4 linked regions of the Canis lupus familiaris genome follow. The protein of the gene in region 1 interacts with the protein of each later gene in a biochemical or structural test. Links are inferred from orthologs where the notes say so. Each region holds a gene or a part of one and is shown in the gene's direction. Other genes may lie near its edges. The genes, in order: BIRC3, RIPK2, RIPK1 and UBE2V1.

What was found.
Region 2: the proteins of BIRC3 (region 1) and RIPK2 form a complex in vitro, tested with the Homo sapiens proteins (2 studies listed by BioGRID, with this or other methods). The link is inferred for Canis lupus familiaris from reciprocal best matches to the Homo sapiens genes BIRC3 and RIPK2.
Region 3: of the proteins of BIRC3 (region 1) and RIPK1, one has a biochemical effect on the other in vitro, tested with the Homo sapiens proteins (5 studies listed by BioGRID, with this or other methods). The link is inferred for Canis lupus familiaris from reciprocal best matches to the Homo sapiens genes BIRC3 and RIPK1.
Region 4: the proteins of BIRC3 (region 1) and UBE2V1 form a complex in vitro, tested with the Homo sapiens proteins (2 studies listed by BioGRID). The link is inferred for Canis lupus familiaris from reciprocal best matches to the Homo sapiens genes BIRC3 and UBE2V1.

Annotation. Positions count from the first base shown.
Region 1 is NC_049226.1:29,467,274-29,474,527, reverse strand, and holds part of BIRC3 (baculoviral IAP repeat-containing protein 3), read left to right. Parts: intron 1-1,108; coding exon 1,109-1,157; intron 1,158-2,775; coding exon 2,776-3,018; intron 3,019-6,587; coding exon 6,588-6,842; intron 6,843-7,224; coding exon 7,225-7,254. UniProt on the Homo sapiens protein: Multi-functional protein which regulates not only caspases and apoptosis, but also modulates inflammatory signaling and immunity, mitogenic kinase signaling and cell proliferation, as well as cell invasion and metastasis.
Region 2 is NC_049250.1:35,937,609-35,944,862, forward strand, and holds part of RIPK2 (receptor-interacting serine/threonine-protein kinase 2), read left to right. Parts: intron 1-2,910; coding exon 2,911-3,068; intron 3,069-3,748; coding exon 3,749-3,798; intron 3,799-4,715; coding exon 4,716-4,877; intron 4,878-7,254.
Region 3 is NC_049256.1:4,664,733-4,672,612, forward strand, and holds the start of RIPK1 (receptor-interacting serine/threonine-protein kinase 1), read left to right. Parts: upstream 1-3,830; 5' UTR 3,831-3,951; intron 3,952-4,920; 5' UTR 4,921-5,032; intron 5,033-5,467; 5' UTR 5,468-5,584; coding exon 5,585-5,696; intron 5,697-7,755; coding exon 7,756-7,880. UniProt on the Homo sapiens protein: Serine-threonine kinase which is a key regulator of TNF-mediated apoptosis, necroptosis and inflammatory pathways.
Region 4 is NC_049245.1:37,221,478-37,229,197, reverse strand, and holds the start of UBE2V1 (ubiquitin-conjugating enzyme E2 variant 1), read left to right. Parts: upstream 1-3,559; 5' UTR 3,560-3,575; coding exon 3,576-3,597; intron 3,598-7,720. UniProt on the Homo sapiens protein: Has no ubiquitin ligase activity on its own. The UBE2V1-UBE2N heterodimer catalyzes the synthesis of non-canonical poly-ubiquitin chains that are linked through Lys-63.

The DNA of each region.
Region 1 (7,254 bases):
CTGCAGCATCTCTGCTTCTTGAGGCCATGACTTTGAAGAGCAGAAGACATCACTGACTTTCTCAATGCATAGAAACAGACAGAGTTAGACTGAAATGAGGAGACAGAAACCTACGTCCCAAATGAGAGAACAGGACAAAACCACAGCAAGAGAGCCAAGTGAAACAGATATAAGTAATATGCCTGATGGAGAATTTAAAGTAATGATCATAAGGATCCTCACTGGACTTGAGAAAAGGCACGAGTGATCCCCGTAACAGAGATAAAGAATAAGATAGCAGAGATAAATGAAATGAGAAACACTCTTGATGAAATAAGCAGCAGGGTGGAAGAAGCAGAGGAACAAATTAGTGACCTCGAAGACAGAGTAATGGGAAGTTATCAAGCTGAGCAGGAGAGAGAAAAAATTATGTAAAATGAGAATAGGCTTAAGGAATTCAGCAACTCCATCAAGCATAACAATATTTATAATATATGGATCTCAGAAGAGGAGAGAGTGAAAAGGGGGCAGAAAATTTATGTGAAGAAATAATAGCTGAGGCACATATAATTAAAATTGCAAAAAGTAGTGATAGAGGGTCTTAAAAGCAAGGAGGAAAAAGACAGTTACATGTAAAGGAAGCCCTATAAGTCTAGAGGAGGTTTTTCAAGCAAAAACTTGTCAGGTCAGAAGAGAGTGGTAGAATATCAAAGTGCTGAATGGGAAATAATCTTCCTGGAAAAGCAGATGAGAACTTATATAATAGTTTGAGGATCAAACACTTTTAAGCCACAGTTAGTAGAACTGATAGAGGGTACAACTTATTCCAAAGGATGACCCAGGAAATGTAAGATGTTTGGGATGAAAGGCAAACCATAATTGTCTCATAGATTACTGAGAAGATATAGCCCTTTTCTTGCCTTCACGAATATAGATTCTATGAAGTATAGTTTATGGTGTAGAGAATAACTGTTGAATATAAACAAAATACTGCTTTCAAGATAAAAAATCATTTTGCCTGTAAGCAAGTCAGTCTGCAATAAATTGAATAAAATAGATTTCTTGACTCATGTACATTGTAATGGACAGGCTGAGACTTATATTTTAATTTACAATTTTTTTCCTGTAGTTGTTATCTACCTCAGACAACACAGAGGATGAAAATACTGAGTCACCAAGTAAGTATAATGACAATAATTACTGCATTTAAATAGAACCATTGTTACTCTGGAGATGGAAAGCTGATAATGGTCATATTATTGTACCATATGACACTCTATACTTTATAATGCACTCTCACATTCATTAAGTTTGTATTTCTCACACTTTAGTGCTCATGATAATTGCCTAAGGAATCAGATTTCTGGTCTCCACTTTAAAGCTATCATATTGAGCCATGGCATCTAAGGGTGGGATTTGAGTATGTCTTTTTAACAGACCACATGCATCCAGCCTCACACTCATTTTCAGACCTTGTGGGAACACAGGTAGTCTGACATTAGCTCGCTCACATATTATTTCTATAAAATGAAGATAGTAGAAAATATTATTCTTATTCCTCAAGAGGGACCCTGAAGCTCAGATAGGTTAAATGACCTGTCTTTTTAGGCTAAACCTAAAAGGTGATTGAGCCAATATTTGAACAGGCTGTTCTACTCTATTATCTAGTGTTTAATTCAATTCAATAAATATTTATTGTGTGCCTGCTATTCTGAGGAAAGTACACAGAACAGAGTAAATATAACTCCTGCTCTTGTGAGCCAACAGTCCAGGGGATTCAGACAAGTACACAGGTAGGAGAGAGGGGTATGGAAAAGTAAAGCATGGTGTGCTGTGGGAATGCATGAAGGACCGTGCACCCGGACTTTGGAACATGAGAAAAGGCTTTCCAGAGGAGGTATTCGTCTTAGCACAGAAAACCTGGGAAGGGTAGGGGTTAGCCAGATGACAGAGGAATATTTGTCAAAATATTTGTCAAAAGAACATTCTAGACAGAGAGAACAGCCTATGAAAGTCTTAAGTGACAAAAAAGAACAGGCACATTTGAAGAACTGAACAAAATTCTGTATGACCAGAGGTGGGATTTGTGAACAGGCAAGCGAAGGAAGCAGAGTTCTTTGAATGATCAATGCTGCACAGGCAGAGTCTGACCCAAGAGCCATCAGTTTGTGACTTCTGGGCTCGAGCATAGCATGTGAAGGAGAAAGTGGTAGGAGATGAGGCTGAAGAGGTGAGTGTGCAGATCTTGTGCCAGATCTTGTGCCAGATCGTGTGCGGTCTTATGAGCCACAGTCAAACGTTCGTGAGGACAATGGAACTGTTGCTGAGATTTCAGAAGGAGTGCTACACAGTTGGATTTGTGTTTGTGAAAAGCCACTCTGGTGGCATTGCTGAGAAGGAATGAGACAGGAGAGGGCATGGTAGGAGGCCCCGCAGTGATGGCATGAGTGAGGACAGTGGCCTCTCTGAAAAATATGTGACACGTGCTTGATTTAGAAAGCTCATTTGTTCATTCATCATAGGGAGAAAAGAATGCTGAGTGGATGGTGATATCCAACCTTCTGTTCCTTTCTCCCACTCATAGTTATGCCTGGTAATGCATATTTTCTATCATAATACGCTATTCCATATTCTTATTTAGTGACTGAACATGTACATTGTTATTTTAAATTTAACAAAGTTAGTATAAAACAATGCCTATATGTTCTGGGCTTTATGTTTTTGAAATGTAATAACTTTCAATTCAAAAGATATACAGACTCTCCCAACATGTGGAAAATCCCTTATTCCATGTAGTTGTCCATTTTGGACCTGGAGAATACCATTCAGAGGATGCAGTCATGATGAACACCCCGGTGGTGATGGCCGCCTTGGAGATGGGCTTCAGTAGGAGCCTGGTGAGGCAGACTGTGCAGAGTAAGATCCTGAGCACTGGAGAGAATTACAGAACGGTTAATGAGATCGTGTCTGACCTACTCCACGTGGAAGATGAAATAAGGGAGGAGGAGAAAGAAAGAGCAGCTGAGAACAGAGAATCAGGTACATATCCGCATTGATTGGTGTCTGTCTCTGTGTGGATATGATGCCACCATGTGTAAGTCACTAAAAGTATACTCCTTGTCAGGGCAATCAAGTTTTATGTTTAGTGTTTTCAATTTGAATTCTGGAATTTTTTTTTTTACATTACACTGTATTTGAATTGCTCATTAGTCAGTGGAAAATGTATGTATTGAGTGAAAGCATTTTCTTAATTTATATTTTTACTCTAAGTTGTTGACTGCATATGTAATCAAGGCTTGTTTGTGATCCCAGGCTCACTCTCCTTTGCTGCAAATCAGGGTGGGATCAAGGACAATTATTTTAATATTAGCATCACAGAGTGTCTCAGCCCAATGACATTATTATTTTTTTAAAGATTTTTATTTATTTATTCATGAGAGATGGAGAGAGAGGCAGAGACATAGACAGAGGGAGAAGCTGGCTTCCTGCGAGGATCCCAGTGTGGGACTCGATCCCAGGACCTGGGATCACGACCTGAGCCGAAGGGAGATGCTCAACCACTGAGCTACCCAGGTGCTCCCCCAATGACATTATTATAGCATTAATAACACATGTTAATGTACAAATTATGATTATGTTTCCTGCCAGCCAATATAAGAACTGAGGGAGTCCTTCTGTTCTTGAGGGGAGGGTGAGGACACTGTTGCACATTCTCTCAAGACAAGGTAGCCATGTCCCTCCATGCTAGCCTTGTCTGCCATTATATGGCCTTTGCTCTGTGGCCCTTCACAAAGACTCTCTTCCTCCAGGCATATCCATCCCCATCTGGTCACTCTGAATGCTGTCGTTACTCTGGCCTAGACAAACAGAAATGCTCCTCTCTCCTTTGCTGCTCTTTGACAAGCATGAACCAGATCCATAAGTCTTTTCAATATAGTTTAAAGCAAACTGCAACTTTTCAGAAGCTCCTACTAGAGATTTGGGAATAACAGCAGAGTGTTTACATCATGGACGACAGTCGACAACTCTAGCTGTTTGGGTCTCTCTTAGTCCCCTTAAAGGCATCCTCGAGAATCTCTCTGCCTAGCATCTGTTCTGGTTCATCGCTATATAGCTCTGACCATTTTACACAAATGACTAGGCTAGTCCCAAGCATGTTTTCTCTTAGGAGAGCTCACTCCCCCAAATACCCCCAAAGCCCAGAACGGGCAGAGAGTTTGCCCCTTAACTTTGTCCAGTGCCATCTGGGATCTATTTCTGCCAAAGATGATTGGCAGATCATCAACTCCAGGTTTGGATAAGCCTACTCCTTAGGTGGATTTGTCTTCTGGCCAATCTGGACAAACAGATCCTGCCTTTACCAAAGTGTGACTTGTTCAATTCTGCAAACCACCAACACGAACAGCAACGGAGCCCAAGCTCATCTTTGTGTATCCTTGCAGTGGTCTTCTCCATCTTAGTTGTTGGTCATCATCCCTGGAAGAAGAAAATACCCACCTCTACAATTGTTTGAAGACCCTATGAAGTCTAAAGCCATCCAGCTATAAAACATTTGTATTTCTTTCTTTTTTATAAAAAGATTTTATTTATTTGAGAGAGAGAGAACATGAGTGGTGGGGAGGGACAGAGGGAGAAGCAGACTCCCTGCTCAGCAGGGAGCTTGACTTGGGACTGGATCCCAGGACTTTGAGATCATGACCTGAATCAAAGACAGACACTTAACCAACTGAGCCACCCAGGCACCTCAAAACACTTGTATTTCTTTCAAAGAAAATCAACGGTCTGCAATCAACAATACAATAATTTGCATCATCAAAAAGATCTTGTAGCATCTGCACTCTCTGTTATGTCTACACTGTCCAGCACACAGTCTGCACATAGTCTGTGCTCAAGAAATATTGCTTTAATGAATAAACGAAAATATTTCATTGAGATTACTGATGACTTTATAGTTTTCCCAAGAACAGCGGGTAAATAATTTCTTGACAGGTGTGTAAATAAAGAGGCAGTTTAGGATTTCATTTCCAGAGCAAAAGAATAATATGCTTCAAAGGTATATTCAAGTCTTTACCTCTTATAAGCCAGAATAGTCTATGACTTTGAAATGAGTCTTTTTTGCTCAACCACTAGCAATACGACTTTAGAAATCTTAAGGATTTCAGATAACTTATTACAATAGTCTAAGTAAAATGTAATTACCATCCAACTATTGATTTCGACTCAGGTCATGATCTCAGGGTCCTGGTATTGAGCCCCACATTGGACTTTGTGTTCAGAGGGGAATCTGCTTCTTCCTCTGCCCCTCCCCCGACCTCCCTTTTCTTGCTCTCTCTCTCTCTCTCTAATAAATAAATAAATCTTTTTAAAAAAGAAATCTTGGATGGAAAAATGAATATACATCAACATCAAGTGTAAATTATATGTTAATTTTCTGGTATATCAGTATTTCTCTATTAGATGATTTCACCAAATGTATTAGGTTCTAATTCTTAACCCCTCTGGCCATGACCTCTCTATTCCTTCTGCTCCTTACATTACTATGGCTCATTTGATCGACAGCTATTTATGGAGCAGGTACTTTATGTAGATACCACCTAGGCCCTTTTCCTTTTCCCATTTACTGCCAGAGCTCTAGTTATCTTCAAAATGTGTATCTTTGACCTTGACTATTTTACTAAGCGGTATTTTTTTTTTATTTTTTATTGAATGGTTCTGTTTTTATCTCCTATTACTTGACAGAGTCAGTGTTTCGAAAATCTAACATCATCTTCCCCCAGATAATTCTTTTTTTAGACAGCCACACTTCTGTCATTAATTATTTCATAGAAAGAGCCTTAAGGATCATGGTAAAATTGTGTAATAATGAATAAACTTAGATTCATAAGTTAAAGTCCAAGGAGATAATAAAATTGCAGAGTTTCAAAATATAAAATATTTTACCAACAAATACAAAATCTGGATCTCAGCGACAAATACAATGATCCTATGGACAGAAAGTTATCACCTGACAAGTAGGATTTAATCTTTAACATGCTGTTGGTGCCTTTCCCCACTTATTATAAAAAATTTGGGTAATGGCAATATCCAGTCTAATATGAGAAATAGTTAAAATGTCATCTTAAAATGGGAATTTTGAAGAAATTTTTACAGGTGGATGATAATTGAAGAAATACACTTTGTGTCCTTTTTAATCTCTTGATTTTATCTTTCCGCAAGTTGACTAGATTGAATTGGAATTTTAGTTTGATCAGACTCTGATTTTGACTTGGTTAAAGGTTGAGCAGTTGTTCAGAATGTCTGAGGACACAGCCTGTGACACCAGACTGCCTCCGTTTGTGTGTCCTTGCGCAGTTCCCTTGCCTCACAAGCCTGTTTCCTCCTCTGCTAAGTGGGGGCCCTGGAACCCCCCTCTGTGGCTGCTGGGAGCATGGAATGAAGGGACACATGACAGACAGGGTGCTCATCCTGGAACCCCTGGACCTAGCATCCCCTGCGGTGCCCAATGGATCATGAATTTTGAGGGTTTTCCATTCAGTTATGTGTATATGTGGAAGGAAGCCTTTGAGCAGAGTTGAAACGTGTTCATGCTTGTTTTCTTTTTTATAAAGATGATGTATCATTAATCCGGAAGAACAAAATGGTGCTTTTCCAACATTTGACTTACGTGCTCCCAATCCTGGACAGTCTCCTAATGGCCGGGGTGCTTAATGAGCAAGAACACAGTTCTATTAAACAGAAGGCACGAACATCTTTACAAGCAAGAGAGCTGATCGATACCGTGTTAGTAAAGGGAAGTTCTGCAGTCACCATATTTAAAAACTCTCTGCAAGAAATTGACCCCATGTTATACAAGCGTTTCTTTGGTGAGTGTTTTGCAATTAGTTTGGGGAACTTTCTAGGTCAATTGAAAATATGCTCTTAATGTGACAAGCGAGGGTGGTGCATGGAAACTGAATCACGACACTGTACACCTGACACTGATATTACACTGTATGCTAAGTCACTGGAACTTAAAATTCAATTCAATTCAACTAAAAAATATGCTCTTAATAATTCTTTATTATGAAAATAATAAATACTGAAAATAATTCGATCTAAAAGATGAAAGAGTTCTGTTGCATTGACATGATGATGGTCATTTATAGCATTTGGCTAGAGTCTAAACTATTAGTTTAAAAAATATATTTTGTGACTCAATATTAGCCTTACTTGTTATTAGTAATGTTTTTTGTTTTACTCCCTTAGTACAACAGGATAGAAAGTATATTCCCACGG
Region 2 (7,254 bases), on another chromosome or scaffold:
TTGACTTTGTTTAGTTTTTATAATTTTTATTACTCTCAGTACGTACAGAACTGTGAACTTTGTAATACTATTCCTATAAATTAGCGGCATTCTTTTACATGCAATTTACGTGTCTCTACTTGTTACTTTATAAATGTCCCTTTAAAAGTCAAAGTTCATCACTGACTCATGGAAAAGTAGCAGTTACTTAATCTACCCATCTTCTTCTTTAAATGAATTGCAAAATATCTTTAAAAATATTAATGAAGTTATGGGCAGCCCAGGTGGCTCAGCGGTTTAGCGGCTGCCTTCAGCTCAGGACCTGATCCTGGAGACTCTGGATCTAGTCCCACGTCAGGCTCCCTGCATGGAGCCTGCTTCTCCCTCTGCCTGGGTCTCTGCCTCTCTCTCTTTCTGTCTCTCTCATGAAAAAATAAATAAAATCTTTAAAAAAATAAATAAATAAAAATACTTAATGAAATTAAATGGAAATTGACACCTTGCTATCATTTTCTGAAGTAAGTTTTCTCACTGGAATGTTGACCAGAAACGTTATCTGAAAGAAAAATATTTACTCCTGATTAAGGTCAACTGATACTTTTCTGCTTTAAAAAGAATACATTGTTTGATTATCTGCCAAGTGTCCATTAGTGTACCTTAGATACAAATGAACCAGTGATAGACTTCTTTGAAATGAAAATATTTATATATGCCATATTTGGTTTCTCTGCTCTTCTGTTGGTCCTAAGTGGAAACCAGAATACTTCAGAGTTATTCTTCATAACTTCTTACTGATAATAACTTTATAGTGTTGTAGATGTGGATAGTGTATGTAAATAAAAATAGCTATTCTAATAGGGTGCTAGGATTGTGGATGATTTTTATGAGTAGTGTGTTTTAATTTCCTCTAATCTTTAAAATCATCTTTTTATTTAAAAAGAAAGCCTTTAGCTTCAAAATGCATGTTAAGATCTTGTGTAGGTAGAATGGGTAAGTTCTTATTCTCTGTCGTCATGGCTGAAGGATAAATTTATCAAGACCTTAAGAAATCTTAGAACTCTTATTCCTTCCCTCACATTATTCATTTTTTTCCTTCTGTTTGAAGATCCAAATTTAATGAGTCATGCCTTTCATAATAATAATATTCATAATGATATTTGTAATAAAGGGGAAAAGTGGAGTTCTACATGAAAGCCAAACTAAATCAGCTCATAGAGAGAGAATTCTGATTAAGGTTTTTAGGTCAGGTTTGAAAACAAAGATGAAAATCTTGGGTGAAGGAGCACATAAGGAAGCAAGCTCAGGAATACAGTTTCCACAACGCTGTGTTCAAGCCGACATTTAGCCCAGGAATTTGCAAATTATGGTTCAGGTATAAGGTGAGACCACATCTCAGATTTTTTTTTTTAGCATTTTTTCACTTGCGGCATAAAAATAAACTCTACTTATCATAGTAATGCATATTATTCTAGCAACTGTAGTGCTGATTTTGATTTTAGAGGGTAGGTGGGAAGAACAGATTAAATTGAGTAAGAGCAACCTATATACAAAACATTAATAATGTTAACACATGAGGATCACTTATTATGTGATACTACTATTCTGAGTGCTTTGCTTAGAACAAGTTGTTTAATTTTCTCACTACAACCCTGCAGTGTAGATGGTGTTATCATCCCCAGTTTGCAGATGGATAACCTGAAGCACAGAAAAATTTAAAAACTTGCTCAAGTTGCGCACAGTTAATTAAGCGGTAGAATTGGAATATAAATGTAAATAATCTAGGTTCTAGAACTCATGTTCTTAGCCACATGGTATATTGCTTTTCAGAATCAATCCAGCTCTTCATGTATGTATTGGCACCGTGTTTTCTCTTGGTCTTTCCTATTTTTTTCCTTAGACTTCCCTTTTATTTTAATAATATATGAAAAAATTCATATAGTCTATCTCTTCTCTTTGGCGTGGGGCCATAATATTTTTTTATTATCAAAATCATCTAAACACTAAGCAAATTTTCTTCTACTAAAACTAGCAGAAAAATATAAGGGCCAAATAATTGAAACACAAACGGTATGCCGGATAGAGTTCATTTCCCTCTGTTTACCCTAACTTGTGCAACGTGAAGGTCTAAGTAATTTAAATTTAATGTTTTTAAGGATTTACTATACCCTTTTGTCTTTTAAACACTGTTTCTGTTCTCATATTCTGTCTTCGATTAAAAAAAAAAAAAAACAAGGAACCTATTTAAAAGGTTAGAGAGTTATAAGATGTTGTGTGACATCTGCACAAAATTTATAAGTGAAGCAAAACTATAGAGGATATATCAAAAGTATAAAATGTCACCAATAATTCCTTAAGCAATCCTTGCCATAGACATAAATATGCTTTATATGATTCTTTTAGGGGCAAACATAAATCATGTAATAATGACCTCTGCTATATTAGAATTTTACTTACCTCAGAATTTAAGGTTACTATTTTCAGGACATCGTAAATAAGAACATATAAACCTGAGTTGCAAACAATGCCCAGGGGCACTCATATTAGATACCAGTAGTTTAGCAGCTCTGTGAAGTGTAGCAGCATATGCCGCAAAACTACTTGTCTTAAAAAGTAGTATTTGGTATATATGCTCATTCAGAATTTAAGACAAAAAATATTGCTGTTTTTTTAAAACTCAGCCTCCATTTTAAAATTTGTGATATTATGCTGAACTTCAGGTCAGTATGTATTACTTCTAGAGTTACTTGGGCTCAGTACTCAAGAATTTAATTTATTAAGAAACTGATACAATATGTAGAAATAAAACATTAATATAGAACTTTTTCTCTGCTCTCATACCTGAATACAATGAATACAAACAGAGTCAGTTCTTGGTTTTTTTAAAGAAAAAAAAAAGGTTTAAATTCAATTATTTACTCTTTTCCCTTACAGATCGCAGATTTTGGTTTATCAAAATGGCGTACGATGTCCCTCTCACAATCACGAACTAGTAAATCTTCACCAGAAGGAGGGACAATTATCTATATGCCACCTGAGAACTATGAACCTGGACAAAAATCAAGGGCCAGTGTCAAGCATGATATATATAGGTATAATATATTACTTTGGCTTGTCTAAAAACAATATTAATCAGAATTTTGAAGCTGAATTTTAAAGTGTGATTTTTAGTCTATGTCTCATAAGTGTGATAAAAATAGAGGCCACAGTGGTTAATATTTTTCAAATTAAATTTTTTTCAGTGATGTAAAAGTAGCTGAAAGGAAGGCATCTTTAAAGTGTATCTTGTCCTGTCAATTTATAATATAGTACTAAAAGGTTTTTTTCTTATTTGACATGGAGGGAGGAGGGAGGGAAACTGTGGTTAACAGTTAACACTACCAAGGAGACAGTACTTAGACCAGAAAAAAAAAAGTCAATAGACTAGAGCTACATGAGGCCATCTTTTTTTTATTGCTTTTTATTTTGTGTGAATAATAGAATTGTGTAGAGGTCATTAAAGAATCATCCCATTATCCTTGTCTAGAACTTCAAATTTTTATTACAGTAATTTGCTAATTTTTCAAATTGGATTAATTCCCTTTTAAAACAAAACTGTATGTAAATATTCATCATCTTGGTTGTCTATGGTGATTCTTTATATAGCATTTCACTACCTTATCACTTGCAAAAATGATATCTCCACAGTCAACTTTTAAAATCAGTGCTGTTTTAGTTTATTATGCATCGTCAGTTTATAATGTCTTGTATGTAATATTTTTATCTTAAACAGCTATGCAGTGATCACATGGGAAGTCTTATCCAGAAAACAGCCTTTTGAAGGTAAGTGTACTTTCATATCCTCATTCTAGATGACTTCATGTTGGTAGGCCGCATCCAGTACTATATAAATAAAGCCTATCTTATTTCAAATTTGCCTACCATTCACTTTTTGGAAAACACGCTATGAAAACAATTTATCAATTCTGAATCCACTGTATATTGGAAAATTATACTGAATTAAGGGTCAGAAATACGTAGAGTCTAGTACTTGTTCTGACGGTACTTACCTCTGTGATCAAGCCACTAAATCTCTTGGGTCTTCATTGTTTTATTTGCAAAATGAAAATTTTGAACTTTTATTTTTAAGATTCATTCAGGCTCTAAAACTCTTAATTAGAAAATTTAGTTAGTGCTTCTTCCATAACAGCCAGCAAACATTGAAGAAGAATTTTTAAGTTTTCTGATAACATTGTCCATTTCTTTATTTTGAGGATTATATGGGTCAGCTTGCTGTGTAACAACCTTAGAATCTTAGTAGCTTACAAAATAAATATATATTTCTCATTCACAGTAGGTGTGAGTGGCCACTCTTGGCTATGCGAGGTTCCACTCATTTCTACTAAGGTCTTTTCTATTCATAGCCCATTGACCAAATCAGAAATATGACCAAGCTTAAAATTAATTAGGTGAGGTGAGGCTATAAATATATATATATATATATATAGAGAGAGAGAGAGAGAGAGAGATAACTCTCTCTTAAAATCTTAGGGGCAATGCATTACTCCTAAGATTTTAAGTTTCCCTCATTTTCATTTGGTTGACTTTATTTTTTTTTTATTTTTTATTTTTTTTGTTTTGTTTTTTTTTTTTGTTTTTTTTTTGTTTTTTTTTTTCATTTGGTTGACTTTAGAATATATTTAAGTAATATATTGAATCATAATATATTTCTAATGAATGAAATATATTTGTTTTGACAGAAGTCACCAATCCTTTGCAGATCATGTATAGTGTATCACAAGGACATCGACCAAACACTAATGAAGAAAGTTTGCCACTTGATATACCTCATCGAGCACTTATGATCTCTCTAATAGAAAGTGGATGGGCACAAAATCCAGATGAAAGACCATCTTTCTTAAGTGAGTATACAGTTTTATTCAGGACCTTTTGAATTAAAAAAAAATAGTGAATATACTATGAATAAGATATTTCTTGAAAAATTACACAAGTTAGATGGCAAGCTTAAAGTTCCTTTTTTTAAAAATTCAGTTGCTGTTTTTATTTTATGAGATGAGATTGGAGAGATAAGGAGAGCCAGGATAGCCATCATAAAAAGATTAGAAATTTATTCCAACTACAATGGATCATTGTTAAAGTGTGTTTTATATGGAAGTGACATGACCTAATTTAAGTTTTGGAGAGATCACTCTTGTTGGTATGTGGAAAATTGACTTAAGGGCAGGAGTGGAAGCAGAGACCAGGTAAGAGACTTTCACAATTTACTAACTAAGGTGGTAATCCTAGATAGAAAAATTAGATAGAATTAAGATTTATTTCAGAGGTAAAACGGATCATCATCTAAATGTAAACCTAGGTGAAAGTTTTTATGACCTTATGTTAAGCAAAGAGCTCTTATGTATGACATCAGAAATAAGATCCATGAAAAAAATAGAATTGGGCATTAAAAAAAAACTGAAAATTTTTGTACTTCAAAAGATGATATTAAGAAAAAGTGAAAAGATGAGACGCCTGGGTGGCTCAGGGTGTGATTCCGGGGTCCTGGGATCGAGTCCCACATCAGGATCCACGCAGAGAGCCTCCTTTTCCCTCTGCCTATGTCTCTGCCTCTCTCTGCGTCTCTCGTGAATAAACAAATAAAATCTTTAAAAAAGAAAAAAGTGAAAAGATAAGCCACAGACTGGGAATCCTCTTTCTAACTGAAAAAGCAGTGAAATATATTTTTCATTCAAAATCTGTGTCCAGCGCACATCAGTACTATGTTTAAAAACTGAAAAGTTGCTTGTAAATGGATTCAAGTTTTATTTATTTCCCAGAGCTACGTGGGAGGGTTTATATCTCCTTTGCCCCAGTGCCACTTCCAGATACTCCTTTTCTTTTCCATTCTCTAAAAATCCTAGCTCCTTTGCAAAACCATACCGTTAGGCAGGACCTCTCTACAGACTTCCTGGTTTTTCCCTGTTGTCCTTTAAAGACTTTTGGCTGCCTGATTCACCCTGCATTGATCAGCACTGCTGAATACTTACAGGAGCCTTCTGCACGTGGCAGAGCTCTCTCTCTGTTCCTCTCCTCTCTCTCTGTCTGCTTTGGTCTACCCAGACTCTCAGCCCCATCTCTTTAATCAAGTTTCCACTCAAGTGAGAAGTGAAGCCTCGCCTCACTTCCCTCTTAAGCTGCAGCTAGAAACTCTCTCAGCACAGAAAGCTTGTGAAATCATAAGGCTCACCTGATTTGTGTCCTGTCTCTCAGTGATCGCTGTCCTTTGTTGCCTGGTATCTAGGATCTTGAAACCCATTGTGTCATGTTGTTTTGGTTTTTTTCTAGCTTTTTTAATTGTTTTAGGCAGAGTGGCAGATAAAACCCTGTTGCTCCATCTTGGCCAGAAGTGGGAGTTATTTATTGGTTTTCTCTTTAAAGTAATGGTCAGGGCAGTGGCTCAGTGGGTTAAGTGTTATAAGCATCTGCCTTCGGCTCAGGTCACGATCCTGGGGTCCTGGAATCAGGTCATGATCCCCGGGTCCTGGGATCAAGCCCAGCATGTCGGGCTCCCTGCTCAGTGAGGAGTCTGCTTCTCCTCCTTCCCCTCCTCTTCCTCATGCATGTTCTCTTTCTCTCAAATAAACTCTTTAAAATCTACTGATTGCCAAAACTGAACACTAAACACTACTTAAAAATTCTGTAATGCTTGGGCAGCCCCGGTGACTCAGCGGTTTAGCGCTGCCTTCAGCCCAGGGCGTGATCCTGGAGACCCGGGATCGGGTCCCACGTCGGGTTCCCAGCATGGAGCCTGCTTCTCCCTCTGCCTGTGTCTCTGCCCCTCTCTCTCTCTCTGTGCCTCTCATGAATACATAAATAAAATCTTAAAAAAAAAATTCTGTAATGCTTCTCAAACACATCTACTACTCCATTCTCACAGATCAGCTGTTCTAAAGGTGTGGTACAAGGACCCCTGGGGTTGTTGGTTTCTGAGACTTTGAGAAGAAGTCACAAAATCAGAACTGTTTTCAAAATAATAAATATTGGGACGCCTGGGTGGCTAGCGGTTGAGCGTCTGCCTTCGGCTCAGGGTGTGATCCTGGGGTCCTGGGATCGAGTTCTGTCCCCATTGGGCTCCCCTCGAGGAGCCTGCTTCTCCCTCTGTCTGTGCCTCTTCTCTCTCTCTCTGCATCTCTCATGAATAAAGAAATAAAATCTTTAAAAATAATAATAATAAATACCAAGATTATGTTTTTAAATTCTCTCTCATGAGTACATAGTGGATTTTTCCAGAGGCTAGAG
Region 3 (7,880 bases), on another chromosome or scaffold:
CGCAGGTACAACGAGTCCCTCCTGGAGGAGGGCAGGATGATGCACAGGCTGCGGCACAGGCGGGTGGTGAAGCTCCTGGGTGTCATTCTCGAGGAAGGGAACTACTCCCTGGTGATGGAGTACATGGAGAAGGGCAACCTGATGCACGTTCTCAAGGCGGAGGTAAGTGCACTCCGCAGCCTGCTGTCCCCCCCGGGCCTGGCCGCACCTCCCCCCCACCGCCCCGTGCCCCCCATGGGCCGGTCGCAGCTGCCTTTGGTCAGCTCCCTGCATCCTCGGGGCCGGGGACAGCCCATCTCCCCGGGCCCGTTGGCTGGAAGGCCTCTGCCCCCGGGTCGTGGAAGGACACACCGCAGGTCGCCGTGCGCTCCTGTGATGCTTGCTCTCCGATGCCGCTGGAGCCTAAGTGTTAATGCATTAGCGGCCAGAAGGCTGGGTAAGGAAGGCTTGAAATAAGGACATAGAAACCGATTCTGAAAACCCCCTCCCCTTAGTAAAGCACCTTTTAGCGTCTGTCTAGCTATTAGGGGCGAGGCTTTGTGCTGGTTGCTCCGGAGCCCACAGCAAGTATGACACAGACCCGCCCGCGGCACAGATAAGGAGGAAAACCATGTGGCCTGGTGGCGTTTCCACAGGCATCCTCCCAGCCGTGGGGACACCGAGAACAGGTACGTCCCCCCAGCCATGGGGACACCGAGGACAGGTACGTCCCCCCAGCCGTAGGGACACCGAGGACAGGTACGTCCCCCCAGCCGTGGGGACATGGAGGACAGGTACATCCCCCCAGCCGTGGGGATACCGAGGACAGGTACGTCCCCCAGCCGTGGGGACACCAAGGACAGGTATATCCCCCCAGCCATGGGGACACCGAGGACAGGTACGTCCCCCAGCCGTGGGGACACCGAGGACAGGTATATCCCCCCAGCCATGGGGACACCGAGGACAGGTACATCCCCCCCAGCCGTGGGGACACCGAGGACAGGTACATCCCCCCCAGCCGTGGGGACACCGAGGACAGGTACATCCCCCCAGCTTGGGGACACCGAGGACAGGTACGTCCCCCCAGCCGTGGGGACACTGAGGACAGGTACATCCCCCCAGTCATGGGGACACCGAGGACAGGTACATCCCCCAACCGTGGGGACACCGAGGACAGGTACTCACTTCAGTGTGGGGTGGATAAGGAGGGATTCCAGAAGGACGGTTCCTGAGCCAAAGCCTGAAGGACAGGCGCAGTTAGGGAGCACGTGTTCCTGGCGGGAGGACGGCGAAGGACAGAGAATACAGCAATTTTGGAACACCGTCAAGAACTGGACTTGGCCCGAGCATGGAGGGCGTGTGGGCCTGGTGGGATTGGCTGTCTGCAGGGCAGATACCCCCCTTTCCCCACCTTCTCCCCAGCCCTACAACTGCCCAAGGTTCTGTCCCTTCTTCGATTCCTCGAAGCCCTGGGCAGCTCTCACAGGCACCGGTGGGAAGGCTAAGAGTGTGGCTTATGCACGTTGTGTTGTGGTTGGATGTGATTGCTCTTCTCCCCAAAACCAGGTTAGACCAGCTGCTGCTTGTAGTAGGCGTTGAGGCATCCTGCCAGACGCAGAGATAAGTGGACTAGTTTGGGCTCCAGAAGAATCCAGGAGGATGTCAGGGAAAAGAGCAGAAAGGAAAATGAGAAGGGGATTTTCTTTGCTTACTCCGAATGTTTTCCCAAGTCCAAAGGTGTATACCAAGGAAGGAGGGAAAATCTCCTGCTGTTTTTTGGGTGGTGGCGATCAGGCTGCCAAATCAGCCACATTATGGGTTTTAAATATGGTTTAGAGGGTTGACTTGGACTCTAACTTCCATCATTTAAATTTTTGTCCAGTTTACCAACAACCAACATATAAGTAAATTTTTAGAGAACAGCCCATTTGTAGGGACTGTATGCATGCATGCATGCACACACACACACACGCACACATACAGTTTACGTTTTTCGGTGTTAAGTAAAATTAATGTTTTGGAATTCTCTGTAATAGCATTAATATTTATATAACTAGAATACAATTGTAAGTAAGTGACTTCTGAATTTACAAAGACTTGCTGAAGTATCTGATATGAAATTATCAAGCAGCTATTCACTTCAGCATTGTTTTGTTTTTTGTTTCCTAGTGAACGTGGTATCAGGTCTCGTTTATGTTTTTTTTTTTTTTTCTTTTTAAGATTTAAATTCAGTTTCCCAACATATAACACTCAGTGCTTATCCCATCAAGTGCCCCCCTCAGTGCCCGTCACCCATTCACCCCCACCCCCTGCTCACCTCCCCTTCCACTACCCCCTGTTTGTTTCCCAGAGTTAGGAGTCTCTCATGGTCTGTCTCCCTCTTTTAATTTTTCCCACTCAGTTCCCCTCCTTTCCCCTATAATCCCTTTCACTATTTTTTTCTGTTCCCCAAATGAATGAGACCATAGAATGTTTGTCCTTCTCCAATTGACTTATCACTCAGCATAATCCCCTCCAGTTCCATCCATGTTGAAGGAAATGGTGGGTATTTGTCGTTTCTAATGGCTGAGAAATATTCCATTGTGTACATAGACCACAGCTTCTCTATCCATCATCTTTCGATGAACACCGAGGCTCCTTCCACAGTTTGGCTATCGCGGACTTTGCTGCTATAAACATTGGGGTGCAGGTGTCTTGACATTTCACTGCATCTCTATCTTTGGGGTAAATCCCCAGCAGTGCCACTGCACTTCAGCCTTGTTTTAACATCATGTTACCTCATAGGTTCATCTTAAATGTTTGTAATCAGTGTAATCAGCACATTTCTTTCATATTGTCTTTTCTCGTATGATTTCATACACACGTTTCTGTGACATTGTTCGTCTATTTAATATATAGTAGCATATACTAATGGACTGTAAAAAATAATTGGTTTTTTGTTTATTTCTTTATGCCTTCATTCAACAACAATTCTAGGCACCATGCTAGGTAGTAAGTAAGGATGTATATTATAATCATCGCCATCATCATCGTGTTCTGCGCTCAAAGAGCTTAACTTTATAGCATTTTAACATATTTCCATATTAGCGTGGAAGTTTTAGTTTTACAGGACAGAACACAATAGTAATACCCTTAGCACATGGGATGAAATCTTTCTTTAAAAGGAGGCTTCTTTTAAAATGATAGCTGTGCTGCAAAGCATAGTAGAAGGAATCCTGGTGACTACAGATGGTCCCCAACTTATGGTTCGACTTACGACTTTTTCACTTTACAATGGTCAAAAGCCATGGGCATTCAGTGGAAACCATTCTTTGAATTTTGAATTTGGGTCTCTTCCTGGGCTAATGATATGCATTATAGTCCTCTCTCATGATACTGGGGCAGCAGCCGCTGAGCGGAACCACAGCTCCCGGCCAGCTGTGTGATCACAAGGTAGACAGCCAACATGCTCGCGACCATTCTGTTACACAGCCATTCTGTTTTTCACTTGCTGTTCACTATCAGTCAGTTACTTGAGATATTCAACATTTTATTATAAAATAGGCTTTGTGTTAGATGATTTTGCCCAACTAAGGCTAATGTAAGCGCTCTAAGCAGATTAAAGGTAGGTTGGGCTAAGCTATGGCGTTTGGTAGGTTAGGTGTATTAAACACATTTTCAACTCATAATACTGTCAACTTGTGATGTGTTTATTAGGACATAACACAACTCCATTGTATGTCGAGGAGGATCTGGATATCCACAGGTTCAGACCCCACAACCTTGAATAAAACAGTTGCTTTGGCCTGTTTGACTTACCTTTCCATGTCATAGACTTAATGTCCCTTGTTTTAGGTCAGTATCCCCCTTTCTGTAAAAGGAAGGATAATTATGGAGACCATTGAAGGGATGTGCTACCTCCATGGAGAAGGCGTAATACACAAGGACCTAAAGCCTGAAAACATCCTTGTCGATGATGACTTTCACATTAAGGTAAATCAGAATCTGAAAGTTTCTAGAAGATTGGGGTGGTTTTGTTTTTTTCTTAAAGATTTTGTTTATTTGTGAAAGAGAGAGAGACAGAGACAAAGATAGCAACAGAGATAGCAGCAAAGAGCAGATTCCCGCCCTGAGCAGGGAGCCTGATGCAGGGTTTAACCTGAGATGGTCCTGGGATCATAACCTGAGCCAAAAGGCAGATGCTTAACCGACTAAGCTACTCAGGTGCCCCAGGGGGGTTTTAGTTTTAATTCTCTGCTATAAACCCATTTTTGTATGTGATAAACACTAAAGGAAGACCTCGCTCAGCTTAGAACTGGTGAACGGTGGTGCCAAGGATTCACAAGAAAGATACGGACTCGATGGAGTTCATATTATTTATTTTTTTATTAATGTTATCTACGTTTTTTATCAGTTTTTTTTTTAACTATAATTTATTCCATTGTAGTAAAGGGAACAAGGGGAGGGGATTTTCCTTTTGTTCACCCAAGAGCAGATTTAAGTAGGTGGAACATCACATCTAATTGGTTTTGGCAGCAGGAATCCAAGCACGAGAATCTGAAAGGGGAAGCAGCAATGGTGGGGAGCGCAGGAGCTGCTGACTCAGAGTCCCTCCACTATGAGATTCTGCTTCTAATGCTTCCTTCTAGTCTTGGACAGATTCTTATTCCTATAACTTTAAAAGGAAGTTTCCCTCTTTAACATTAAATCACTTATTTCTTATGTATCTCTTAGGTTAAAATCGGGGGATTTTAGATCACCACATGATCTACCCAAATGCTTGGATTCCTAGAGGCAAAAGTGAAACTGTTCCCTCTGATTTCTTCTTAACTGTATTGTTCTATCCTTCCCTGTTCTATCATTGCCCTGCCACCTCTCTCTTTGTTCTGTGTCTGACCTTTGTATTTTTCTTTTGGTTTCCTTGTTGGTTTTTCTCCTTCTTCCTATCCCATCTTCTCTCAGGTTCAGGCTACCAACTCAAAACAAGTAGCACAGCAGTCTGTATCCTCAGGACTTTGGAGTTCTTAGAATCTCGCATCCATGGGCTTCGGGACACCATTTGGGAAAATTGAAGGTGCGGTATCTAGTCCCCATGTGCTATACACATCTGCTGAGAAGACCCCTTTTCTTCCTAGCCCCAGAAATAGTTGAAAAAAAAGTATGCAGAGTAAATGAGGAATTAGAATAAACACGTTCTGCTGTAGTTCATGTCAGAAATGACTTCTGCTTTTCTTTTCCCTCCCCTTCCCCTAGCAAATTACATGGTTTTATTGCATAAGAATTCAAATACCAGAATTTCACATGGACACATCTTAGGGACATTTTCCAGATAGCTGAGGAAACAAAGTTTCTATGAACTTGTTCAGAAGTAGCTGTTTTAAATCTATCTAGTGGAAATTTCTGGAAATTCACTATACCTTGCATCTATTAGTTAAGCCCAACATTTAAAGACAAGTCTAATTTGCCTCTGGCTCTCATAGAACAATCACGTTGATTTGATCTCTTGCAGATAGCTGATCTTGGCGTTGCTTCCTTTAAGACGTGGAGTAAACTGACTAAAGAGGAAATTAATGAGCAGAGGAAATTGAATAGTGTCTCTAAGAAAAATGGTGGAACCCTCTGCTATATGGCCCCAGAGCATCTGAATGACATCAACGCCAAGCCCTCGGAGAAGTCAGATGTGTACAGCTTTGGCATAGTACTTTGGGCGATATTTGCTAATAAGGAGCCATATGAAAGTAAGACATTTATAGAGGAGTGGGATCTGGCTATTAATCAAAACTGCTGAGTGAAATATTGGCCTTCAATGAAGGCAGTTAGGATTTCCAACTGTTTGTTGTTTTAAGGTCTTTCTTACCCACGAGACCACAAGCTACACGAGGGCTAGGACCATATCTGATTTATTCAGCACTATTTCCCCAGTATTCATCTCACAGTGCCTGGAACACAGTAGGTGTGCAGTACCATTATGTTGAATGCATGAGTAATCTCGGTTTAGGAATCAGGGATCACAGGACACATAGGAGCCATGATGATGTGTCTGTATTTGGGAGGTGCTGTAAAATTCCAGGATTCTTCCTGGACAGGAAAACTTACTTCCTTCTGCTTATGAGGCATATACTTCATACTTTGATTCATTATTCACTTGCTCTTTCACTTGAGAATTTTCTTTTTAGTACTTACTAGGGGTACTTTAATCAGAATTAAGAATAAAAAGATGAGAACAGATACATGGAGATACAAGATACAAGAATAAAAAGATGAGAACAGGGCAGCCCGGGTGGCTCAGCGGTTTAGCACCACCTTTGGCCCAGGGCCTGATCCTGGAGACCTGGGATCGAGTCCCACATGGGGCTCCTTGCGTGGAGCCTGCTTCTCCCTCTGCCTGTGTCTCTCTCTCTCTCTTTCTCTCTCTCTGTGTGTCTCGAATGAATGAATAAATAAATAAAATATTTTTTTTTTTTAAAAAAAAGATGAGAACAGATACATGTTCATGGAGGAGAATGGATACAAAAGTATATATATACATATATATATATACACACATCTTCAGTTTGTTAAATGTCTAAATTAATGGACATTTTCCATTTCTATTTTCTTGGGTGATTATCAGCTCCCCCAGTTTAATGATCGATCACCCATTGCCAGGGCCTCTCAAATCTCTTATCTCTATCCCTGGCCTGGATATCCATTTATCTGTTAGATCCATTACACATGCCAGAGGATCCCCAAAGCAACATCCCCCCAAATAAATTCATCTTCTACATGTGCTCCTTGTAGTCCACTCAGCTTTGCTCATGTTCAGAAAATGGCATCAGCATCCACTTACCAGTTGCCCAACCAGAAACTGTAGGCATTCCGGTCTCAGCTTTGTCCATTCAAAACCTATGAATTCAAGGTATATATATGATTCAAGATCCATCTTGAATCCCCCCACTTCTGTCCCCACCAGACTCTCTAGTTCAGACCATCCGTATTTCTACTGAGGGCTGCTCATTTCCCCATTCACCCTGCAGCCAGGCTGGTCATCCTAATAGACAAGTATGACCATCTGATTCATCTATTTATAATCTTTCCAAGGCTCCCTGGGCCTCCAGTATAGAGTTCAAATTCTTCAGCATGGAATACAAGGCCCTCTCTGGCTTTTCCATCTTTCTCTAGCCTTATTCCTTACCTCTCTTTCTTTAGTCAATATGCCCAGTTATTGAGAACTACGCATAATTTCTAGGATACATCACGATTTTGGAGACTTCCAAGCTATTCATATCCTGCCCCCCTATCCTGGAATCCTGTTCTCTGAGTCCTCCTTCCTGATTTATCGATAAATCCTTCTAGTTTTTTTTTTTGATGCAGCAAAGCCTTCTCTGACCTTCTCATCATGGTTGTGTTAGCAGAAACCTTTGTACTTAATTTTTGAATAACCATTACCAATCTGTATTTTAAGTCCCTCTCAATAAACTTAGTTCTTTACGGGTAAAAGCTGTTCCATGTTCGCCTTTGTATTAAAGTCTGGAGTCTGCCATTGTTTTTATTTGTATATTCTATTCTACCAGGAGGCCACTTTGTTGTGAATTCTTTCTTTCTTCTGCAGAGGTTAAAATGTCGTTTGATCATCTGGGCAGTAGAATATGTCAGTGCCTTGTCAGAGGGTCCTTCTGCCCCTAACAGATGAGGCGCCCGTCCTAAAAGCATACCCTAGGTAGAGGAGATCAGCAGGATTGTCCAAGTTCTGCTGCCTTCCTGCCTAAGACACGCAGGACCTGAGGAAAAAATCAACGTAAATTCTTTGCCTTATAGATGCTATCTGTGAACAGCAGCTGATACTGTGCATTAAATCTGGGAACAGGCCAGATGTGGAGGACATCATTGAGTACTGCCCAGAGGAGATTATCAGCATCATGAAGCAATGCTGGGAGGCAAAA
Region 4 (7,720 bases), on another chromosome or scaffold:
AAAAGAAAAGAAAAGAAAAGAAAAGAAAAGAAAAGAAAAGAAAAGAAAAGAAAAGAAAAGAAAAAAGAAAAGAAAAGACTTGTAGGTAAACGGCCCCAGGGTTCTCTTCAGCAGCTCAACCACATCCTGGGAGGTCCTAGCTCTTGCCATCTTTCTGTGCTAGCACCTCCTTTCTGCAAATACCTATGGTGTAGTTCTAGGTTTTTTGGCCTCTGGATCGTCACAGCTCCAACCATCACAACCTCCTTTTACAGGAAAGAGGAAAGGGGGCCAAAAAAAGCTTTCTCCCCAGCTATTCTCAAGGGAGCGAAACTTTCCAATCACCCTCCTCAGCTCATTGGCCAGCAAAGAACTAGGTGACAGGCGCACCGCTGGACCAATCGCTGGCAAAAGGAAACGGCCCTGCCGGGAACCGGCTCAGATTCACACCTGGAACTGGACCTTCAGCCCCCTCATCAAAACCAGCTGGCTGTGGGCACCCAAGGACCTGGTGCCTGCGGGCCGTCAACGGCGTCAGCACAAACCCTCTCCGGACTCCCCGCCTCCAATCTCGGTGCCGCCCAATTCAGTCTTTTCCAGGTAGTCAGGCTGCATTTTGCACAAAAAAAAGCAAACCCACCCACGCTTTGCTTCCAACCTCCCAGGCTCCACAGGTGCCCCGGGGGTAAGAGAACTGAATTCCAAACCTGATTTTACTCCTTCCTTGTTGCGTGATCCTGGGAAAGCATTCTAACGCTTCCGAGCCTCAGTTTCCTCATCTGACAAATAGAGATGATAAAAGCTACTTTGCGGGGGTCACTAAGGATTAAATAATAAGAAAAATAGTAGCTAATACTTATATAGCCCTCGCTCTTTTCTAAATTCCTTCGTTCCATTAACCATTTTAATCTTCCCAACGAGCCAATAAACAGGACTCTTATCCGCATCAGCTGAAGCTACCAGGTCCAGCGCGAGGCAGAGATGCGGCGCAGGCACCGGAGGAATCCGGCTCTGGGGACCCGCTCTGACTTCCCAGACAGAGGGCGGAGCCTCTCCGAGGGAGCTTCGGCGGAGAGGACCACAACTCCCGGCAGGCTCCGCGACGCCGCGAAACTACAGTACCCAGCATGCCCCCGGGCGTCAGGCTTAACCTATTCTCCTGCGAGGTCCTCTGCACAGGAATTTGCTTTACTGTCAGTTTTGCTTGCCAGAAATTCCCTACGAGAACCAAGGAATCTATGCGAGCAAACGTTTAGGAGCATCGTGGATAAGTTGGCTTGTGTTTCCATCCTCACTCCTCCACCTGTTAGCTCTGAGTCTTTCTCATCCTTACCGTGCGGTTATCCCTAGAATTTGCTGCATCCAGCTGTTGTGATGAATAAAAACTGGATATGAAGGCTTGGCAAATATCAGCTGTTGTAGTGTCTCCTCCTCCCTGTGTGCTAGAAGGTTTTATCAAAGCATTTTATCTCTCCAGCAACTCTATGAGGTTGATACCATCATTCCTCTTTTCAGAAGGAGGGGATTGATGCCAAGAGAGATTCAAATCTCTTGCCTGAAGTCACACAGCAAAGAGTAGGTGAAGGAGCACTGGAATCCAGAAAATTTCACTTCAGAGGTGAGTTCACTTTAGGAGACCAAATGCTTCCCACTTGCTACTTGAGGCTTTATAACAACCCAAAGTCCAGGGCAAATATTTTCTGTATTTTTCAAGATAAATTTGAATCACGTGATACACAGACTATCAAGTCGATTCCCTATTGCCAGTGCTTTGAAGGAGACACACATGGGGCTTTAAGAGTCAATTATAGCTGAACTGGACCTGGAGAAATCAGGGAAAGCTTCCCTGAGGGGGTGATGCTGGATCTGAGAACTGAAGAGTGGGAACAGCACAGGCAAAAGCCCTGAGTAGGGAGGGGACATGTACTGCAGAGAGGTACAGGCAAGTCTCAGAGGTACCGGCTGTGCCAAGGATGAGGGTGAGAGGTACCCAGGGTGCAAATTTTAGGAAAGTATTCACTTGCAGGATCATGCAAGTGCAGAGCTGAGACCTAAGGTTAAAAGTCTCCTTAAATGAGGCTTGAGTGTAAGTCCTAGACACCTCAGTGGTCTCACTGGTCTCAGTGGTCTCACTGGTCTCACTGGACCCTAGGCGCATGGCCTTTGGTTAGGGTAGCCATCCACGGTGGTTTGCCCTGAAGAGTTCTGTTGTTCTGGCCAGATAATACTAGGTCTCCTTTTCATCTGATGATTGTCTTTGTTGGATGAGAATTCATGCAACTTGTAGAATCTGTATTTTATCACAAGGAAATGGAGAGCCACTGAAAGATTTAACTGAAAGGTATTTTGAGCAAATTTTGGCTGCCATACAGAGAATGGATCATGGGGGCAAGAATAAAGGCTACTGGGGTCACCCAGGTGGAAGACAAGGGCAGCCTACCCTAAGTGGATGAAATAGATGGAGCTGAGAAATGCTTAGGAGGCACTACTGTCAAAACAAGGTAATGCACGGGATGTCCTGGATAAGGGCTTCCGGTTTCCTTGCTCCTCTGTACTGGAAGTCCTTGTCCTTCTTCTGCCAGTGTTTAGCTGTGTGACCTTGAGGCAGTCCCTTCACCTCTCTCAGCTTGTTTCTAAATCCACATCAGGACTTCTTAGACCGCTTATAATAAAAGATCAATCCCTTCTTGGATTTAACATACATTTGCAAATATGTGTCCATAGGACCTTTGCACATGCTGTTCCCTCTACCTCTTAATCAGTCTCTGCTGAATGTAACCACCTTAGGAGGCCCTCCCCGACCACCCCCTGCTGCCCCTTCCTAGGTTCAATCTCTATCCTATCATAGTTATATCTTTTCCTATTTCTTTGTTAACTAGCTCTCTGACTAGAATGTAAGCCTGTAAGAACAGACTTCAGGGATGTATATCCATTCCCAGGACCTAGCACAGCGCCTGGCACATAGTAGGTCTTAGTTAAGTATTTCTTTGGATGAATAAATGGATGAATGAATGAATGAATGAATGAATGAGTGGAATGCTTTCCTTGACACCTTAATGCCCCAAAACAAAGCTTCTCTGGCCCAGGACTCTGGCCGGGTTTCAAATTCTGATTCAGCCACCTAACCGCTAAGTTTAGATAAATCGCTGAACCTGCCCCTCAGTTTCATTTTTCACATTAATCCCGACCTGGTAGAGATATTGTGAGGATCCAACTAGACAAGGAAATGCACGAAGTAAAATAGGCTTTCTTTTCTTTTTTTCTTTTTTAGCTTTCTTCTGTATCTTCCACAATCGCGTCCTCCCAAGTCTGATCACCCTTGCCTTTCTCACCAAACACCTCAGTATCTCCTTCGCACCCGAGCCTGGAGGAACATGCAGGTTGCCGGGCCCTCCCGCACGCACATCATGTTTCCTTCCTCTGAAAAGGCAGGGAAAAAAAAAAAAAAAAAAAAAACCTTCCCGGCAACGGGTCGCGCGGTCCGCGGAGCGGGCGTCAGCAGCGGCGTCTGCGCAGGCGCGCACGCTTGCGCAGAACGGCCCGGGGACGGGCGGGGGGTGAAGAAGGGGCCGGCCTTCGAGCGACAGCGACGCAAGATGGCAGCCACCACGGGCTCGGGTGAGCTGGGGCGCCGGGCCCGGCTGGCCAAGGGGGCGCGGGCTTGGGCCGGGGACCGAGGACCCGCAAAGGTCCCTGCGGCGGGACCAGGGCCTCTGCGTTACCTCTGTCCGCTTGGCTCCGCGGTGGCGAGCCGGGCGGCCTGAGGGGGGAGGAGGAGCAGGCGGTGGCCGGAAGCACGGGCGGGGGCCTGAGGGGCCTGTGGGCGGCGCGGCGGGGCCCACAGGCTCCCCCGGGCGACGTGAGGGCCCGGCTGAGAGGAAGGACCGGCCCCAAGGCACCGCTGAGCGGCCGGAGCTAGCGAGGGGCGAGCCCCGAGGCATTCCTGAGGAGACGGAGGCTGGCGGCTCGGCGGGGACCAGGAGGTCTCCTAGGGGATGAGAAGGCTCCCCGAAACGGATGAGAGTCCTTTACTGGGTGCTGGAGGTCCGAGCGACGGGGCAGCCCCGGGATGTCCGTGTGGCAGGGACTTGAGAAAAGCCCTTAGGGAGGACGGGAGGAGAAAACGGGGTCTCGGGGGGTGACCGAGGATCCTGCATTGGTTGAGGGGACGGCTTCAGCGTTAGTTTGGGGGATGGGGTCAGCTGAGGAAATCTCCGTGTTGGTCGGGAAGGGGGCGTCTTGAGGTGGCTTTTCTGGGGGAAGGGGTATCAAAGCGCATCCCAACGGGACAAGTGAGAAGGGAAAAACGATCTCTCAGGTTCCAAAGGGATATGATCCCGTCATCATCAGGCTTTTACTTGAGGAGGATCAACTGAAGGAAGCTCCATGCAGTGGGTGAGAGTGAGGAAAAAAGTCCTGTTTCAGAGATTTTTTTCTTTCTTTCTTTTTTTTTGGGGGGGGGGGGGAGAAGCGTCCTCTAGAAGTGTCTGTTTTGTGGCCATTGTCACTCCCTAGCACTCCTTTGGATGTTGGTAAAAGATACGTGGGTTCAGCTCAGAGGTTCCCCATTTAGTGGATGGGCATGGGGAGAGGGACAAACGAAGACTCTGGATGACTTTGGGGCAGGAAAGCTGGACAAACCCCCATCTCCATGAAGCAGAAGAGGAAATAAAGGGAGCTGTACTTTGAGAGAGGGAGGTTCATCCAGTGCCTTGTGGTTTGAGGGAGGCAGCATTTATTCTGAGACTCGATTCCTTGTTCTGCACTCCTAGGATGGGCCGGAGGATCAAATCCTGAAGGGTCTGTTTCAGAGTTAACGTTCTACAAATGGACCTCAGGGGATGGACTCAGATGGCTTTCTCGAGGAGGAGGGGTAAAGATTGGCTGGGGGAGGTCCCCCAGAGGGGTTGATGAGGCAAGAAAGATTTTGGAAGTGCAGGATTTGGGGGAAGACTGAATGTCCCCCTATGGCGAGAGAGCTGTACTCTGAGGTACCAGGGATGTTGGCCAAGGAGGTCCTCACAGAGAGGGTGATGATGAGGGAAGCAAGCAGGGCCACGAGCCTGGGTACTCAAATCCTCTGGTTAGTTAAGGCCACAGCATCAGCACTGTTAAGAGAGGCTTGGTGACCTAAAGGAAACAGGGTGAAGGGAGTCCCTCTTTCCAGGGTGTTGCTCCTCTAGTACCCCCAAGAAACCATCCTTGTCTGTTACTGTAGCAATAGAGAGAATTGGCTCTAGGGGATCAGACTGAAATGACCTATCACAAGCTGCCTTTTATACTTAGAGCAGTGGGGTCCCCGATGAAGCATAGAGGAGACCACATATCCTTTTCCTAGATTTTGATTTTTAGCTGGAATAGTGCTGAGTCAACTCTTTTTTTTTTTTTTTTTTTTTAAAGATACTGCCACAGAAGAGAGAGGCTGAGTCAGGCCAGACTGCTGTGAGAAACTTCTCACCATAATAGCACCCCTGTCAGGTTGCTGTGAAGTGGGGGCTACAGTGTAACTGTGGCAGCCAGCATTATGGTCATATTGCAGCTCAGCCCAGTTTGCAGTCACTTGAGATTGGCTACCTACAATCTGGTTTAACAGCTACTTAATTCTAACTTCTTGAAGCCCTGCCAATTGATGAGTGCTTCATAAATGCTAATGCAGTCAGATAAAACATCGTCAACTCCTGTCTAGTGTCAAAAGCACTTGGCATGGTGTAGATAGCATAGAACAGGCTTTAAGGTGCTCTAAATAGTGGGCTTCCGAAAAGTCCTTTGTTTATTCAACACACATTTACTGAGGGCCTGTTATGTCCCACTGTGAATAGTGGACAAGATAGACATAGCCCCTGTCCTTGAGGAGCTTACATTCTAGTCAGGAGGAAAGCCATTCAAGGACTAAATAATTAAGCCAATTTCAGATAGCAGTGCTATGAAGGAAATTGTGTGATGTGATACAGAGTGATAAAAGTAGTATCAGGGAAGGCTTCTCTGAGACGATGGCATTTGAACTGATGTAAATGATGGAAGGAGCCAACCCTGCAGTGTATATCATAGGCAAGAGAGGTAGAGACAGTGAGTGCAAAGGTCTTGTGGCAGGACCAAGCCCGGTCTGTTGAAAGAACAGGTAAAAGGCCATAGTGTGCACAAGAGGCTTGTTAAGGAAATAAGTTGGGCAGATATGGCTTTAGGTTTTATTAAGTGTGAAGGGAAGCCCTCAAAGTGGCCAATATGAAGTAGCATTAGGTAAATACTCATTGAATGGATGAGTCTTAATGACAGGGTGCCTGGCTGACTCAGTTGTTAGAGCATGTGACATTCAAACTCAGGGCTGTGAGTTTGAGCCCCACATTGGGCAGGGAGCCCACTTTAAGAAAAAGAGAGGATTGACAGGATCTGACCTGTGCCTCTATGCAGTGAAGGAGTACAGAGTGCTGAGAGTGGAAGCAGAAGGGCCATAATTGGGTTAAATAAAAATGAATGTTCAGGCCTCTGCTTTCTAACCATGAGAAGTCTTTCAGGTTGTTCAGGGACCTTGAGGCCTTCCTTAGTCAGGTTTAGAAGAAGCCACTTGATTAATCTATGCCCCTAGTTGCCAGGAAACAGCCCTGAAGTCTTTGAGTTCAAGTTCCTGTAAAGGCCTGGCCTTCGTTTTTTGGTGGTGGTGGTGGTTTTGTTTTTTTTGGGTGGGGGGAGGGTTTTTTTTTTTTTTTTTTTTTTTTTTTTTTATGATCAGTGCTTTCTACACTTTGCTGCAACACCTTGCCACCTCCCGTGGTTCTGCAGTGCATGAATTCTGCATAGATCCTAGAGCATGGTACTGTGAGGAGCCTATGAGAATCCCTCAAGATGCCAGTGCTGTGACAGGTGACTTCCTCCTGCCTTGGCCAGGATTGCAGAATCGCAAGCCCTTGGTTGGCAGGCCCTTCCTTTCACCCAGCATCCTACAGTCTTCCCTGACTGTTAACCAGAAACCTGAGTGCCAGAAGAATAAGCCCTGGCTGGGCCTAATTTTAAATTTGCATTCACTAGAGTGGCCTCCTCTACACACTCGGCGTATGCAACTTTACCCATATGGGCAGTGGAGGTTAAGTAGTCTTCCATTCCATTCATGGGTGTTCCCAGAGAGCTGATGATGGGATATGAGAACCTGTAGTCTGTGAAGTTGATCTTGTTCCTGTATGTCTCACTGTGTAAGTATCTTGTGCTGATTGTAGCCAGCTGCCTTTTATACAACGTGGGCCCTGTGTTCAAGAGAACTGCCTTGTGATACTTAGTGCTCAGCTGGAGCACTCTGCTCCGGTGATGGTTGGTCCAGTACAACCTATTACTCTGTTCAGGGTGTCCCAAGGTTAATTTTGATGGTTATGATTTTCCCCTTCATGGTAACTTTCAAACCATACTTTTCACTCTACCACATTCTCTTTCTCCCTCCCCTTGTCTCTCACCTGGATTGTAGCTACAGTGCTTTGATAAAAACGAAATACAGAATATGAAGTCAGGAATCCTCTGTTTAATTCCAAAAGGCCCCAGTGAAGTACAGAGCAGTACATTTGGTGAAGTAAACATGTAACACTCTAAAACACTTTGGAGGGATCCCTGGGTGGCGCAGCGGTTTGGCGCCTGCCTTTGGCCCAGGGCGCGATCCTGGAGACCCGGGATCGAATCCCACGTTGGGCTCCCTGCATGGAGCCTGCTTCTCCCTCTGCCTATGTCTGTGCTTCTCTCTCTGTGTGTGTGTGTGTGTGTG